Linked DNA regions of Drosophila melanogaster. The protein of the gene in region 1 purifies or fractionates together with the protein of each later gene. This does not show direct contact. Each region holds a gene or a part of one and is shown in the gene's direction. Other genes may lie near its edges.

Evidence for each region.
Region 2: the proteins of CG4598 (region 1) and Prx6c purify together in Drosophila melanogaster (affinity purification with mass spectrometry, with the first as the bait; one large-scale study listed by BioGRID). This does not show direct contact.

What each region holds. Positions count from the first base shown.
Region 1 is NT_033779.5:9,915,372-9,922,121, forward strand, and holds CG4598 (uncharacterized protein), read left to right. Parts: upstream 1-3,246; 5' UTR 3,247-3,336; intron 3,337-3,503; 5' UTR 3,504-3,509; coding exon 3,510-3,737; intron 3,738-3,798; coding exon 3,799-3,945; intron 3,946-4,004; coding exon 4,005-4,475; 3' UTR 4,476-4,749; downstream 4,750-6,750. Other genes in the region: yip2 (yippee interacting protein 2), read left to right, coding at 254-420, 681-1,609, 1,669-1,750; CG5885 (uncharacterized protein), read right to left, coding at 2,072-2,496, 2,563-2,710; CG4594 (uncharacterized protein), read left to right, coding at 5,003-5,230, 5,283-5,429, 5,483-5,950; CG4592 (uncharacterized protein), read left to right, coding at 6,370-6,624, 6,693-6,750.
Region 2 is NT_033778.4:10,415,468-10,421,633, forward strand, and holds Prx6c (peroxiredoxin 6c), read left to right. Parts: upstream 1-3,250; 5' UTR 3,251-3,337; coding exon 3,338-3,420; intron 3,421-3,482; coding exon 3,483-3,857; intron 3,858-3,920; coding exon 3,921-3,996; intron 3,997-4,059; coding exon 4,060-4,188; 3' UTR 4,189-4,294; downstream 4,295-6,166. Other genes in the region: CG11825 (uncharacterized protein), read right to left, coding at 5,234-5,580, 5,636-5,699.

The sequences.
Region 1 (6,750 bases):
TATGTGAATCCTTTAGGATATGCCTATGCTGTTGGAAGTCTAGATAAGAGATGATCTCGCTAGAGAGATCTGAACTTTGGACTCGTTGGTGTCTTATCTGATGCTATCCCCCCCCCCCGCGTCCAGCCGGTTGCACTTTGGACCTGTTGAATCGAAAACAAAAATCCGCCTTCGTTCGAGCTAAATTTGTGCTATCACTACGCACATTATATATGTTATACATATGTTCGTATGTTTCTTCTCCTTTGTAAAGGTATCTATATTGTGGCTGCCAAGCGTACGGCCTTCGGAACCTTCGGTGGATCCTTGAAGGGCATCAACCAGACCCAATTGCAAACCACGGCGGCCAAGGCTGCCCTGGATGCTGCCGGTCTTAAGGGTGAGCAAGTGGACACCGTCATCGTGGGAAATGTGATCGCGGTAAGTTGGATTGAAGATCCTAAAATAGAAACTCTTAAGGCGTCGGATTAAAACAATATTAAGATGTTATTAAACTAAAAGAAATATGTAAATGTGATAAAATACTTGTACATCTGGTTATGTAAATTAATTTACTCGATATTTATTTGTTATTATTGCTTAATTGCAAACTCAGTAGATCAAAAACTGGAACTACATGCTTATATTATGTTTTTTTGTAACTTGTAAGTCTTAAAAATCTCTTCTCTTCCACTTCGCAGTCCTCCTCCACCGATGGTATTTATGTGCCCCGTCATGTGGGTCTCAACTGCGGTGTGCCCATCGAGAAGCCCGCCCTTGGAATCAACCGGCTTTGCGGTTCCGGCTTCCAGTCGATCGTAAACGGAGCCCAGGACATCCTGGTCGGCGGTGCCAAGATAGCCCTTACCGGCGGCGTGGAGAACATGTCACAGAGCCCTTTCATTGCCCGTAATGTGAGATTCGGAACCACCTTGGGTGCCAGCTACAATCTGGAGGATGCTCTATGGGCTGGCCTCACCGATACCTACTGCAAGCTGCCCATGGCTCTGACCGCTGAGAACCTGGCCGATCAGTACAAGATCAGTAGGGAGCGTGTGGATGAGTTCTCTCTGCTCTCGCAAAAGAACTGGGAGAAGGGTCAGAAGGAGGGAGCATTCAATGCCGAGATCACACCCATCAAACTTAAGGTCAAGGGAAAGGAAGTGGACTTTGTGGTGGACGAGCACCCACGTCCCAAGACCACCATCGAGGGTCTGAACAAGCTGCCTTCGCTGTTTAAGAAGAACGGCGTTGTGACTGCCGGAACAGCATCCGGAATCTGTGATGGTGCCTCCGCAGTGATCGTGGCCTCCGAGGAGGCGCTTAAGGAGTACAACCTGAAGCCTCTGGCCCGTCTAGTGGCCTTCTCCTTTGTCGGAGTCAAGCCTGAGATCATGGGCATTGGCCCAGTACCCGCCATTCAGAACGTCCTGAAGGTTTCCGGCAAGAAACTGGAGGATATTGATCTGATTGAGATCAACGAAGCCTTTGCTGCCCAGACATTGGCTTGCGCCGATGCCCTGAAGTTGGATACCTCCAAACTGAATGTGAACGGAGGCGCCATCGCCTTGGGCCATCCTCTGGGTGCCAGTGGCTCTCGCATCACTGGTCATCTGGTTCATGAGTTGCAGTAAGTTTCCGTGGAAATTTACAACCTGTCATAAATTGATAATTATATATTTTTTCCAGGCGCAAGAAGCTAAAGTACGGCATTGGATCCGCGTGCATTGGTGGTGGTCAGGGCATCGCCCTTCTCCTCGAGGCTGTCTAATCCTACAGCTTAATGTAATAGGTGCCCTGCATTTACACTTAAATTAGTGCTGAAAATTCCGTTTTAAAAATACCCCGATAGCAATAAAGAAATTATTTTATCTTTACAATTTATTCAATCAGCAGCGAATGGAAGTTGATCAGCTTTCTACAAGAAAGACAAGTTGGTGTTTATACTATAAAATTTCTATGCTCGCACTGCTGGAAACGCCAATGGGACGGGGGTTGGCGGATGAAGGACCAGCCCGCTGTACCAGGAAATCTCTTGAAGGGCCTTACATTACGAGTACATGAACATGGGATGACATGGCTGCACATTCGCTCAGTTCGTCTGTGCGCTGGTGGAGAAGAGCGACAGAGCGCCGCTGGCGATGCCCACGGAAAAGATGTAGTTGATGAACGGCGTCGAGTTCTTCAGGATAAAGAAGCTGATGAAAATGATAACGGCCAGGTAGATGGCGTTGTTGTAGAAGATGGAGAAGGTGGTGGCCTCGTAGTCGGCTACCTCGTTCTTCTTCCACAGGATGCGCTCGTCCTTTTCCTTGCGCGTGACCTTCTTGTCATCGCCCACCTGACGGTTGACCTCGCGGGTCACCGCCTCCTCCCGCCGTCCGGCGATCTTGTGCTTCAGCTGGAACTTGATGTTCTTGTAGGCGGTGGCCATCAGATAAGTACTAGCGGCCGTCACCAGGACGAACAGGATGGAGCTGGGCCACAAGTCCATGTTGTGGATGCGCCAGAAGAGCCCTGCAAGGAGCATACTCCATTCATTCACAAAGTGTCCCAAAACATACAACGTGTCACTTTACTCACAGATTGGAACGGCCGACACGATAAAGGCATTGCCGTAGAACAGCGCCGACGACTTGGTGCTCACGTTGCGGCTAAAGTCCTGCAGCAGCAGCTCCTCTTCCTTGGTGAAGCCAGAGGACTGGACTTTCTGTTGTTTGCCGGATCCCATTTTTCAGTTCGATTTTCGTAGAGAAAGTAGCGAAGAGTGCGGTAAAGTGTACACGAATGCAAACGCAAGTCGGCTTCGACGAATTGTGACGTGTAAACGTCAAAAACCAGGGCTGCAGGCTGGAGTGCGGCTGTCAGTGGCTGTCGATTGGCGATGACAGCGCTGTCGTCTATCGATGTTTGCCATGGTTTTTAGCATTTTGTGGCGGTTATGGTTATTTATTTGAATTTATATGACGATGATTTGTATAATAAAATGACATTGCTGAGGCGATGCTTCACATTTACTACATTTAATTGCAATACAGTCCTTCATAAATAGTGTAAGCTATATTTTTTTAAATAAAATAATACTACTTAAAACATATTTGTTTATTTACTTTTTAAGTGTGTTCACTAAGATTTATCATGGGGCTTACTGGGTAGTTTTCAAACGCTCTTAAATTAATAACATTAATGACATAATGTATCTTACAACTAAGAAAAAGTATTAACCATTCGGTGTAAGCCTATTTTCCAATAAGATCCCCATTCTACGCCACTGGATTTCGGACTATCGATAGCGCAACAGGTTCTTCGGCAGCTGAGTTTAATAGTTAAAACTGCAGCGCTTAATAATATTCATAGGTAAATACGAAAACTGCCTTAGTTTTGAATAATTTACTTTGTCGCGCATAAAATATATTCGTATTTAAAATTGAGTTGATAAAGAAGATTACGGACATAGAAAATTAGAAACCGGCATCCGTCCAAAGGTCACTTTCAGTTGTGTTTACGTCTTTTGTGCTCTTCAGATCAAAATGATGCGATCGAAAGTCTTGAGCTTGGTGGCCCGTGCTGGCTCCAACCGTATGATGTCCACTGCCACCAAGTTGACCACAGTGGAGGTCAACGACAAGACCGGCATCGCCACCCTCACGATGAACCGGCCACCCGTAAATGGTCTTAACTTGGAACTGCTGCAGGACCTGAAGAGCTCCATTGATGAAATCGAGAGCAATAAGAGTCGCGGACTCATTTTGACTTCGGTAGGAAGGATATTAAATCAATGGAGTATAATAAATACATAAATACAAATTTCACCCGTAGTCTAGCTCCACAATATTCTCAGCTGGTTTGGATATTCTGGAGATGTACAAGCCGGATAAGGACAGGATTCGCGCCTTCTGGACGCAACTGCAGGATACTTGGCTGGCCCTTTACGGCAGCAGTGTTCCCACAGCGGCAGCCATCAATGTGAGTTCCCTCCTAGATTCTAAGAAGCATGCAGTGAGAGCGTTTCTTCTTATCCCTAGGGACACTCCCCTGCCGGTGGATGCTTGCTAGCCACATCCTGCGAGTATCGGGTCATGGTGCCAAACTTTACCATCGGCCTGAACGAAACACAGCTGGGTATTGTGGCGCCCCAGTGGTTTATGGCCTCTTTCCTGAGCGTCTTGCCACAGCGAATTGCGGAACGCGCCCTCAACCAGGGTCGCATGTTCACCACGGAGGAGGCCCTGAAGGTGGGCCTCATCGATGAGACTGCCAATAACAAAGAGGAGGCTATTGAAAAGTGTGTCGCCTTCATTGGCACCTTTGCCAAGGTCAATCCGCTAGCCAGGTCACTGACCAAGCAGCAATTCCGAGCTGCTGATCTACAGCAACTGCAGAACGGACGGAAGGAGGATCTGGAGAAATTCCTGTTCTTTGTCAACCAGCCGGCGGTACAGAAGGGTCTGGGCATTTATCTCGAGGGTCTGAAGAAGAAGGCCAAGAAGCAATAATGATTTTAAACGTTTTTATATAGTAATAAAGTTGTTTTGAACCCATTTTATAACGAATTCATAAAACATTTTCTTATTCTACAAATATAATCTTATTCTATAAATATTGATTGAATAACATAAAATTAGTTGTAGTTTTCCTAAATACATGTAGCATTTAAAGAACTGGTAAACAGAATCATGTTTTCCAGCGGCTTAATAATCCTGAAAATACATTTAAGATAATATTCTGTTCAAATGGTAATTTAAAGTTGATTGTATTCGATAATTAAACGGCGGCCGATAGCAGTTGGCTGGAAACTTTCCATCGAAGATCAGTTGCACTAACTTAACAGCTGTGTAGATAAGAATTTAAAAAACATTCGGTGAAATTAACCCAGAGGTATGTACGTAAATAAATATATATATTTTGCAAAATTGCATATCAAATGGAAAACATTTAAGATATAACTATATAATCAAATTACCACCTATGCAGGTTGCAAATAAACATTTGAACAAAGGTCATCTTCCATACTTAAAGAAAGATGCTGCGCTCAAATTTCTTAAGATTGATGGCCCACGGGGCTCCAAGTAGATTAATGTCCACCGCCACCAAGCTGACCACAGTGGAGATCAACGATAAGACAGGAATCGCTACTCTCACGATGAACCGGCCTCCGGTGAATAGCCAAAATGTCCAGCTGCTTTTGGACCTGCAGACTTCCATTAGCGAAATTGAGAACAATAAAAGTCGGGGTCTCATTTTAACCTCTGTGAGTTCGATCCTTTATATAACTATGCAAATAACACTTAAATTGCGTATAGGCCAGCTCCAATGTGTTCTCAGCTGGCCTGGACATCTTTGAAATGTATAACACAGACGTGGAGCGACTCCGAACCGTTTGGACCGAATTGCAGAATGTATGGATTGCCCTCTATGGAACAACTTTGCCCACGGCAGCAGCCATCAATGTAAGTATCTTATCTCTTCTAATGTAGATATGTATTAATTTATAATCTATCAGGGCCACGCCCCCGCTGGCGGTTGCCTGCTGGCCACTGCCTGTGAGTATCGAGTGATGCGGCCCAACTTTTTGATTGGATTAAACGAAGCCCAACTAGGAATCATTGCACCCAAGTGGCTAATGTCCGGCTTCGCTAGCATACTGCCCAAACGGGTGGCAGAGCGAGCTCTCACCCAAGGACGTATGTTCACCACACAGGAGGCCTTTGAAGTTGGCCTGATCGATGAGATCGCCAGCAGCAAGGAAGAGGCCTTGGAGAAGTGCGCTGCCTTCATCGGCACCTTTGCTAAGGTCAATCCTTTGGCCCGCGGACTGACCAAGCTCCAGTTCCGTGGCGACAACATTAAGGAGTTTGAGATGATTCGCGAGAAAGATATTGCTGACTTTGTAGCTCTAGCTTCTAGCCCGGGAGTGCAGAAGGTTATGGGAGCTTATCTTGAAAACCTAAAGAACAAGGTCAAGAAATAGTACACCTAACTTTGTAATTTGTAATGTTGATCTTTTTACGTGCATTTAAACTGGAACTATTCGTCCAAAGTCCCTTAATTTGTTAATTTAAAAAATTGTTTATATGTTAACCTAAAAATAAATAAAATTCCTGATGATAAAATTATAAAGTGCAAGAGATAGGATAAGATAGTGACAATTACTAGCGTTTCAAAATTCACAAAATATCCAAATTTTGCGGTAAGCACTTGTTGATCTTGATTTGCTGCTGCCGTGTAAACTTCGCCTGGAAATGCCGACCAGCTGATCGTTTCGGCTTGAATGTTTGTTTTATTTGGTTTGCAACTCGACTTAATATATGATAAACAGGTTAATTTGTTTAAATTCCTGCCCGTCGCTCAGTGCGTGATTGCTGCTCCAGATCCAAAGTCGTCCAAGTCATGTTGCGTAACAGGCTGATAGATGGAGTCAGGCGAATAAAACCCATACTTTGCGGGGGGCAATCCCTGCGATCCCTTGCCAATGGCGCGACTTCAAAGCTGACAACCATAGAGGTCGATGATAGGAGTGGGATTGCCACTCTGTCAATGAACCTGCCACCGGTGAACACTTTGACCATGGAGCTGATGCACGACCTCATCGATTCAATCAATCAGATTGAGAGCAACAAGAGCCGCGGTCTCATCCTGACTTCAGTGGGTTTGCGCCACCCAAAGTAAACATTTTCCCATTACATTTAAATGTAAATCTATGTATTTTACAGAGCAATGACAAGGTCTTCTCCGCCGGCCTCGATCTCAACGAGATGCTGAATCCGGATG
Region 2 (6,166 bases), on another chromosome or scaffold:
TTCCAGGAGCGAAGGAAATCCGCATTTCCTGTCCCTTGCAACGCCACACACCTGCTCATCATCAACTGCTGACTTATTGTTTTCTTTTCTGGTTGTGTTTTATCATTGTACCTACACCACTCCCTCACCTTGCTACAACTACATACACACATACATACACACTCCAACTTTTCCTGTCGCTTTTCCACGTGCCTTTAATCCCCGTTTTTATTTTTTAACTTCTTTTCTCAGCTGCGCAGCGGCGCTTAATTAAAATTAACATTTCATGAAGTGCAAAAAAAAACACAAAGAAAAACATTCGCGGGGGTACAAATGACGCTTCCCAAAAAAAGTTTGCTTAATCGTTTCATTAATATTTAAGGCTTATGGCGGTCTGATCTGTCTAACGGTTTTGGGTCCCGCTGACTTTCAATTTAAATGCGATTTTACTCTTGTTTGTGCCACCTTTTGAACCTTTAAATAATCTCGAATAAGCTGTTAATTGTATTTAAATTCAATAGGTATTTTCAAAAAATACCTTAAATGGCGGGTCTGTATTATTGTGAAACTGTAGTTAAAGTTATTTTATTATTTAATCTTGATTTTTTATTTTATATATTTTTAACACTATTTAAACAATTATTTTTAACAGTGTTATTGCCCAAATGCCAACAAGTTTTTAAAGTCACATATAGTACGTATTAAGCTAATTTAATTTAAATGGGCCACTGAAATGTTTAATTGCCTGAACAACAAAAAGCATTACCTACCTACCAAACAATCCTTTAATTACATTCAACATGAATTACAAGAGTACCTTTAAATATTAATTGTCGGTCCGAAAGAGAACATTAGGCAAAGTAAACAAAAGCGTGTACATATGAATAATAACATTTGTGCCCACACCTCACGTGCGCATAAATTGTTGCTTATTTTTTTTTCTAGTTATTTTGGCGACATTCGTAATTGAATGCATTATTCAATGGGCACCGAGGGAGTATGTTTTCGTACCTGTTTTTTATAGCACTTTAACACTTTGATGGCCAACGGGTGCCAGCGGGCTTAAAGCAGTTGGGCCGGGCGATGTAAATGTCTTGGCATATTTTATGAGGACAGTTGGCTGGCAACTTTTCGCCGAATTTCGGAAAACAACTTTATCGTTGCATTTACCATTAGAGCTGGTCAAGGGAAAACTTTTACTACGAGGCGATCAGATCACTTGGGAAAACGCTCCGTTTGAATGGGTGGATAGTGTTAAAGATGATTTGTTTGTAGCCTCACATGTTTGGATTAGTTGGCAAACACACGCGAACGCACCGCATGGGCAAACAACACACAAGTGGAAAAGTTTTCGCGGACAAAAGTTTTCGCCGCCTGCCAAAAGGTGTGTGCACTTTGTCAGAATGCTAGTTTACTACGAACGGCGGTCCCTAGGCTCAAAGTCGGGGCGATACGATAAGACAAATATGTCAAAAAACAGTTTCGAGGACCGTTTACCGTTATGTTTCGACCGCTCAGCTACCGCACGCGCGCATCGCTAAATTTGAACTGAGCCGGAGCGCCAAAAAGCAAAGCAAAGCGAAAGCAAAGAAGGAAAGCAGAAAGGAAAACATGCGGCGTGGGCGATTGCGGTGCTTATCAAAATCAGCTGTTCGGAAGCTGACTTCAAGCGTTAGCTTTCAGGCGCAAAAGCTCTTCCTACAGTCACCGATGCGAAAATAGAATAGCTTTTGGAACACTAATATCAGTCTCAAGTTGAGACTCTCAGCCAAAATATTGGTTGACTTACATTTGTAAGCCATTTTGTTAATGCATCAAGCTGGTAAGCAAAATCGTCTGCTGGGGCATACTTTCAGGCGAAAACGAATATTTTTATACATCCTTTTGGCGGCGGGTTTCTTTCTGATGTTTTTTTAAATGTAACATATTTATAAGGATTAATATCAACGATATGCGCGGCCAAATTGAATTCTTGCGGCTATAAGTGAAAATCCTCATAAGTTTTAATTAAGAGAGGTAGTCAAAAAGAAACACATTTTCTTACATTGTTGTTATTGTTTTGTTCTTATTATTAGGGTTGTTTTTTAAACAAGATAATTTGTGAGCTTAAATAAGCTGGGTTACAAAATATCGAATATTTTTAAACTAATTTTATTAATTGTTATTAATAAGTAGGTCATTAAATTTTTAACGATTAAAACAAATTCTATTTTCGGTATCACAAAACTGATAAGTAATGGAAAATTACTACAAAACGTTTATTATAGAGACGAAGGTTTCTGAATTCTTAGATTAGACCTTATAACTAGCACCCTCTTACGAATGTACTAGTAACTTAGGAAATACGATCGAGCTATTGGAAGTGAATCCAATTTTGTTAAAGATAACCCACCTCTAAATAAATTTAACACTTGCTGCATTTTGAATATCCATGATGACTATATCTTTTATTTTAATTTCAACCATCTGAATCCCATTTGGGTACTGTCTTCTGAGTTAGCGATCTGCCCATCCGACTTTCCAAAACCCATTCGAACTATTTGTGTGTTTTACTGAAAAAAAAACCTATGCTGGTGTGCTTAATATTCGATAGACCCACGCACACAGTCTCATGATTTCACTCGCTCTTCACTTTCAATTGGAGGCTCGTTTTGTGTACGTGAACGGGAGAGCCGTGCGATCTATGGAAGTGTGCGATTTTTGGAGGCACTCACAAATACCATCACACTGCTCGGCGCTCTCTTGCTCTCAATATCCGCCTATCGATGTGGCTGTATGTTTGCAGGTGTTGGTGCTTCGCCTCTATTTACCAATACCATTTAACATTTAAATGCTCTCTGGCTCTCTGTTTATGTTTGGAACCGGCTTATCTGTCAGCTGGACCAGATCAGCTGTTTGGATGTTAGATGCTAAAGGAGTTTGCGCCTATTGGACTTTTAAAATGAGATTAATGAAGAACCAAATAAGGAAAACAGTACTTTATTCTAAGATACTTCCAGAAGCATTTCGTCTCAAAGTCCAAATTATGTACCACGTTTTGTAGAGGCCCCTGTCGAGTTTCACACACATGACACCATGCTCAAGGTTTCCCACTCCCCCCACCAAAGCAAACTACTCCACAATCTGTTCAGTATTGTTTTATAATCTGTTCACAGAATAATATACTACAAACAAACACGCGCGTTGAGGGAGCGCCCATTTCCTATCTCTATCGCACCCGCTATTTACGTCGATCACGTTGGGTATAAAAGACAGCCAGCTCTCCCAGTCAGTATTCAGTAAGCAACAAGTGTGCGAGCTAAAAGCAGCTACCAGTTGAGCAACTAAGTTTTTTTGAAACTAATAATCAAACAGCAAGATGCGTTTGGGACAGACCGTACCTAACTTCGAGGCCGACACAACCAAGGGGCCCATTAAATTCCACGAGTGGCAGGGCAACTCGTAAGTGCCATCAAACCCTTTTTCTCTGATCGAATCTTACCAATTCTTCTTCGGATCGCCAGCTGGGTGGTGCTCTTCTCTCACCCCGCCGACTTTACTCCCGTCTGCACCACTGAGCTGGGCAGGATTGCGGTGCACCAGCCGGAGTTTGCCAAGCGGAACACCAAGTGCCTGGCACATTCCGTTGACGCATTGAACTCGCACGTGGACTGGGTGAACGACATCAAGAGCTATTGCCTGGACATTCCCGGGGACTTCCCCTACCCGATCATCGCCGACCCTACTCGCGACCTGGCCGTCAGCCTGGGCATGCTCGACGAGGAGCAGAAGAAGGATCCCGAGGTGGGCAAGACCATCCGCGCCCTGTTCATCATCAGTCCGGACCATAAGGTGCGCCTCTCCATGTTCTACCCCATGTCCACTGGTCGCAACGTTGAGTAAGTACCTCTTTCGGGCTACAACTATTGTTAATCTCAACTGACGATCCTTTAATCTTACAGCGAGATTCTGAGGACCATTGACTCCCTCCAGCTGACTGATCGCCTCAAGGTGGTGGCCACTCCCGCCAACTGGACCGTAAGTTTTTCTACCCACTTAATGCGAACTGTTCCGAACTAATTAATTCTGTTTCATAAACAGCCTGGCACTAAGGTCATGATCCTGCCCACTGTCACCGATGAAGAGGCTCATAAACTCTTCCCCAAGGGATTTGATAAGGTATCCATGCCGTCTGGAGTAAACTACGTCCGCACCACTGACAACTACTGACACAAAACCGTTCCCCATTTGTGATCCATTCAATAATGTGCCGTATTTCCTGACATATACTATATACTATGTGCAGTTCATTTATTTAATAAAAAATTATTTTAACAAAATATCCAAACTATTTTAATTGATTTAATGAAAGAAATTTTTGGAGAATAATGTAATCCAATCAGAATTAGGGGAGTTACTGCGATTTTGACGTTCTTTTAGATTGTATAATGTCTGTTTTTTATTTCCTTGCGGATGGTATAGTGATTTTAATCTATTGATGTATTTCTATTGCAGTTGGTAAATAAGTCAAAACTGTATAATATATACGATGGAATAATAGTGAAAATGAGATGGTGTACCTTTTTTGACAAATTATTTGGTTTTTTATTTTATCAAAATCGTAGTGTTCTTATTCGGAATGCATCAGTTTTTAAAACCATTAGTCGTAGAGTAAAAGGATATACTGGGATTTCTTAAAAAGCATAAAACAAATAAAATGATGCCTTATCGACCATATGAAGTATATAAATTCTTGATCATGATCAATATCCGAGTCGAGGCTGAGCTGTCCGTCTGCATGAACGCCTTTGAAATTTATTCATTTTATTATACATATGTTGAACTTTCTCGTTCGCACTCCCACTAGCTAATTAAAGAGTATCTGATAGTCGAGGAAATTGACTATAGCGGTTTCTCTTGTTTAAATATAACATTACTCCAACGGAATATGAATCATAAATGTCATAACTGTAAGTGAAGTGTTTTTTGGTAGAAACATTCTTTATTGTGTACGCTTAATAGTTAACTAATTTTAACTAAGATTAAACCTGATGGCTAATACTTTGCAGAACTTTCTTAAATTCTAGAATAATTTGTTCTACCATTTCTGATTCGATGAAGGTGGTGGGGAGGTAGGCAATTTGATGCTGTTGGGAAAATGAAATTAATAGTTGTTCATTCAGAAATTTCGACAGATGTACTTACAGTTTAATTAACGGTCACCATTTTATGTATGTATTTTTGGTCTTTGGCCGATGATCCTACTATATCTTATTTATTCGTCTGGCCTGGTATTGCTTTTCGGTTCCTCGTGGAGCAGGTACTCCTTGGCCATGGTGTACGCCAATCCGGCTGTCAAACATCCAACGACGGTTCCCTGGGCAGCCACACGCAACTGCATCAGAAAGACGCTGGTGCTCATGCTGCCTCGGTTCCGATATTTGTAGGCTCCAATCAAACCTGCGGCCACGAATCCGGCAATACCCACCAGCATAAAGGGGGACTCCTTCACTTTTCGGGATAACTTGTTTGCCTGAGCGACATCTTCGTCGGTTTCGAATAGAGAATTGGAACTCATTTTGAATAGGTTAGAAAACTTGTTCCCTCTTCTTGTTAGTTTGCCTGATAATTGACAACTGAATTCCGAGTGAAAGAGATCCCTGGCTTTTATACCCACTTGCTTTGAGACGATCAGTGAGCGAGATAGCGACAGTGTTGTTTTCACTGATATGTATGTACATACATACCTATGTATATACACCGATATAATGTACAGCCGTGCGGGCAAGGCCTCCCTGTTGCGAACGCCTCTATTTTTGAATGTTAGCATGCATCAACCTCGTGAAACTCGGGACTTTGTGATGAAATTCTAGAAGCTGCCTCAAAAGTACAGTACATCTAGTTTATATTGCACTATTATTTTCAAATAAGCCAGAATTGGTGGCTAATTTCCAAAGTTGTGCATGCAATCCAAACAGCTGATCCAACAGCTGATCATTTTCCAAAGAGTGTGGGCAGTGAGCGAGGAAGAGAGCGACTCGCCGCATAGTAGTATTTGTGAGTGCCTTCAAAAATCGCACACTTCCATAGATCGCACGGCTCTCCCGTTCACGTATACGAAACGAGCCTCCAATTGAAAGTGAAGAGCGAGTGAAATCATGAGACTGTGTGCGTGGGTCTATCGAAAATAAACACACCAGCATAGGTT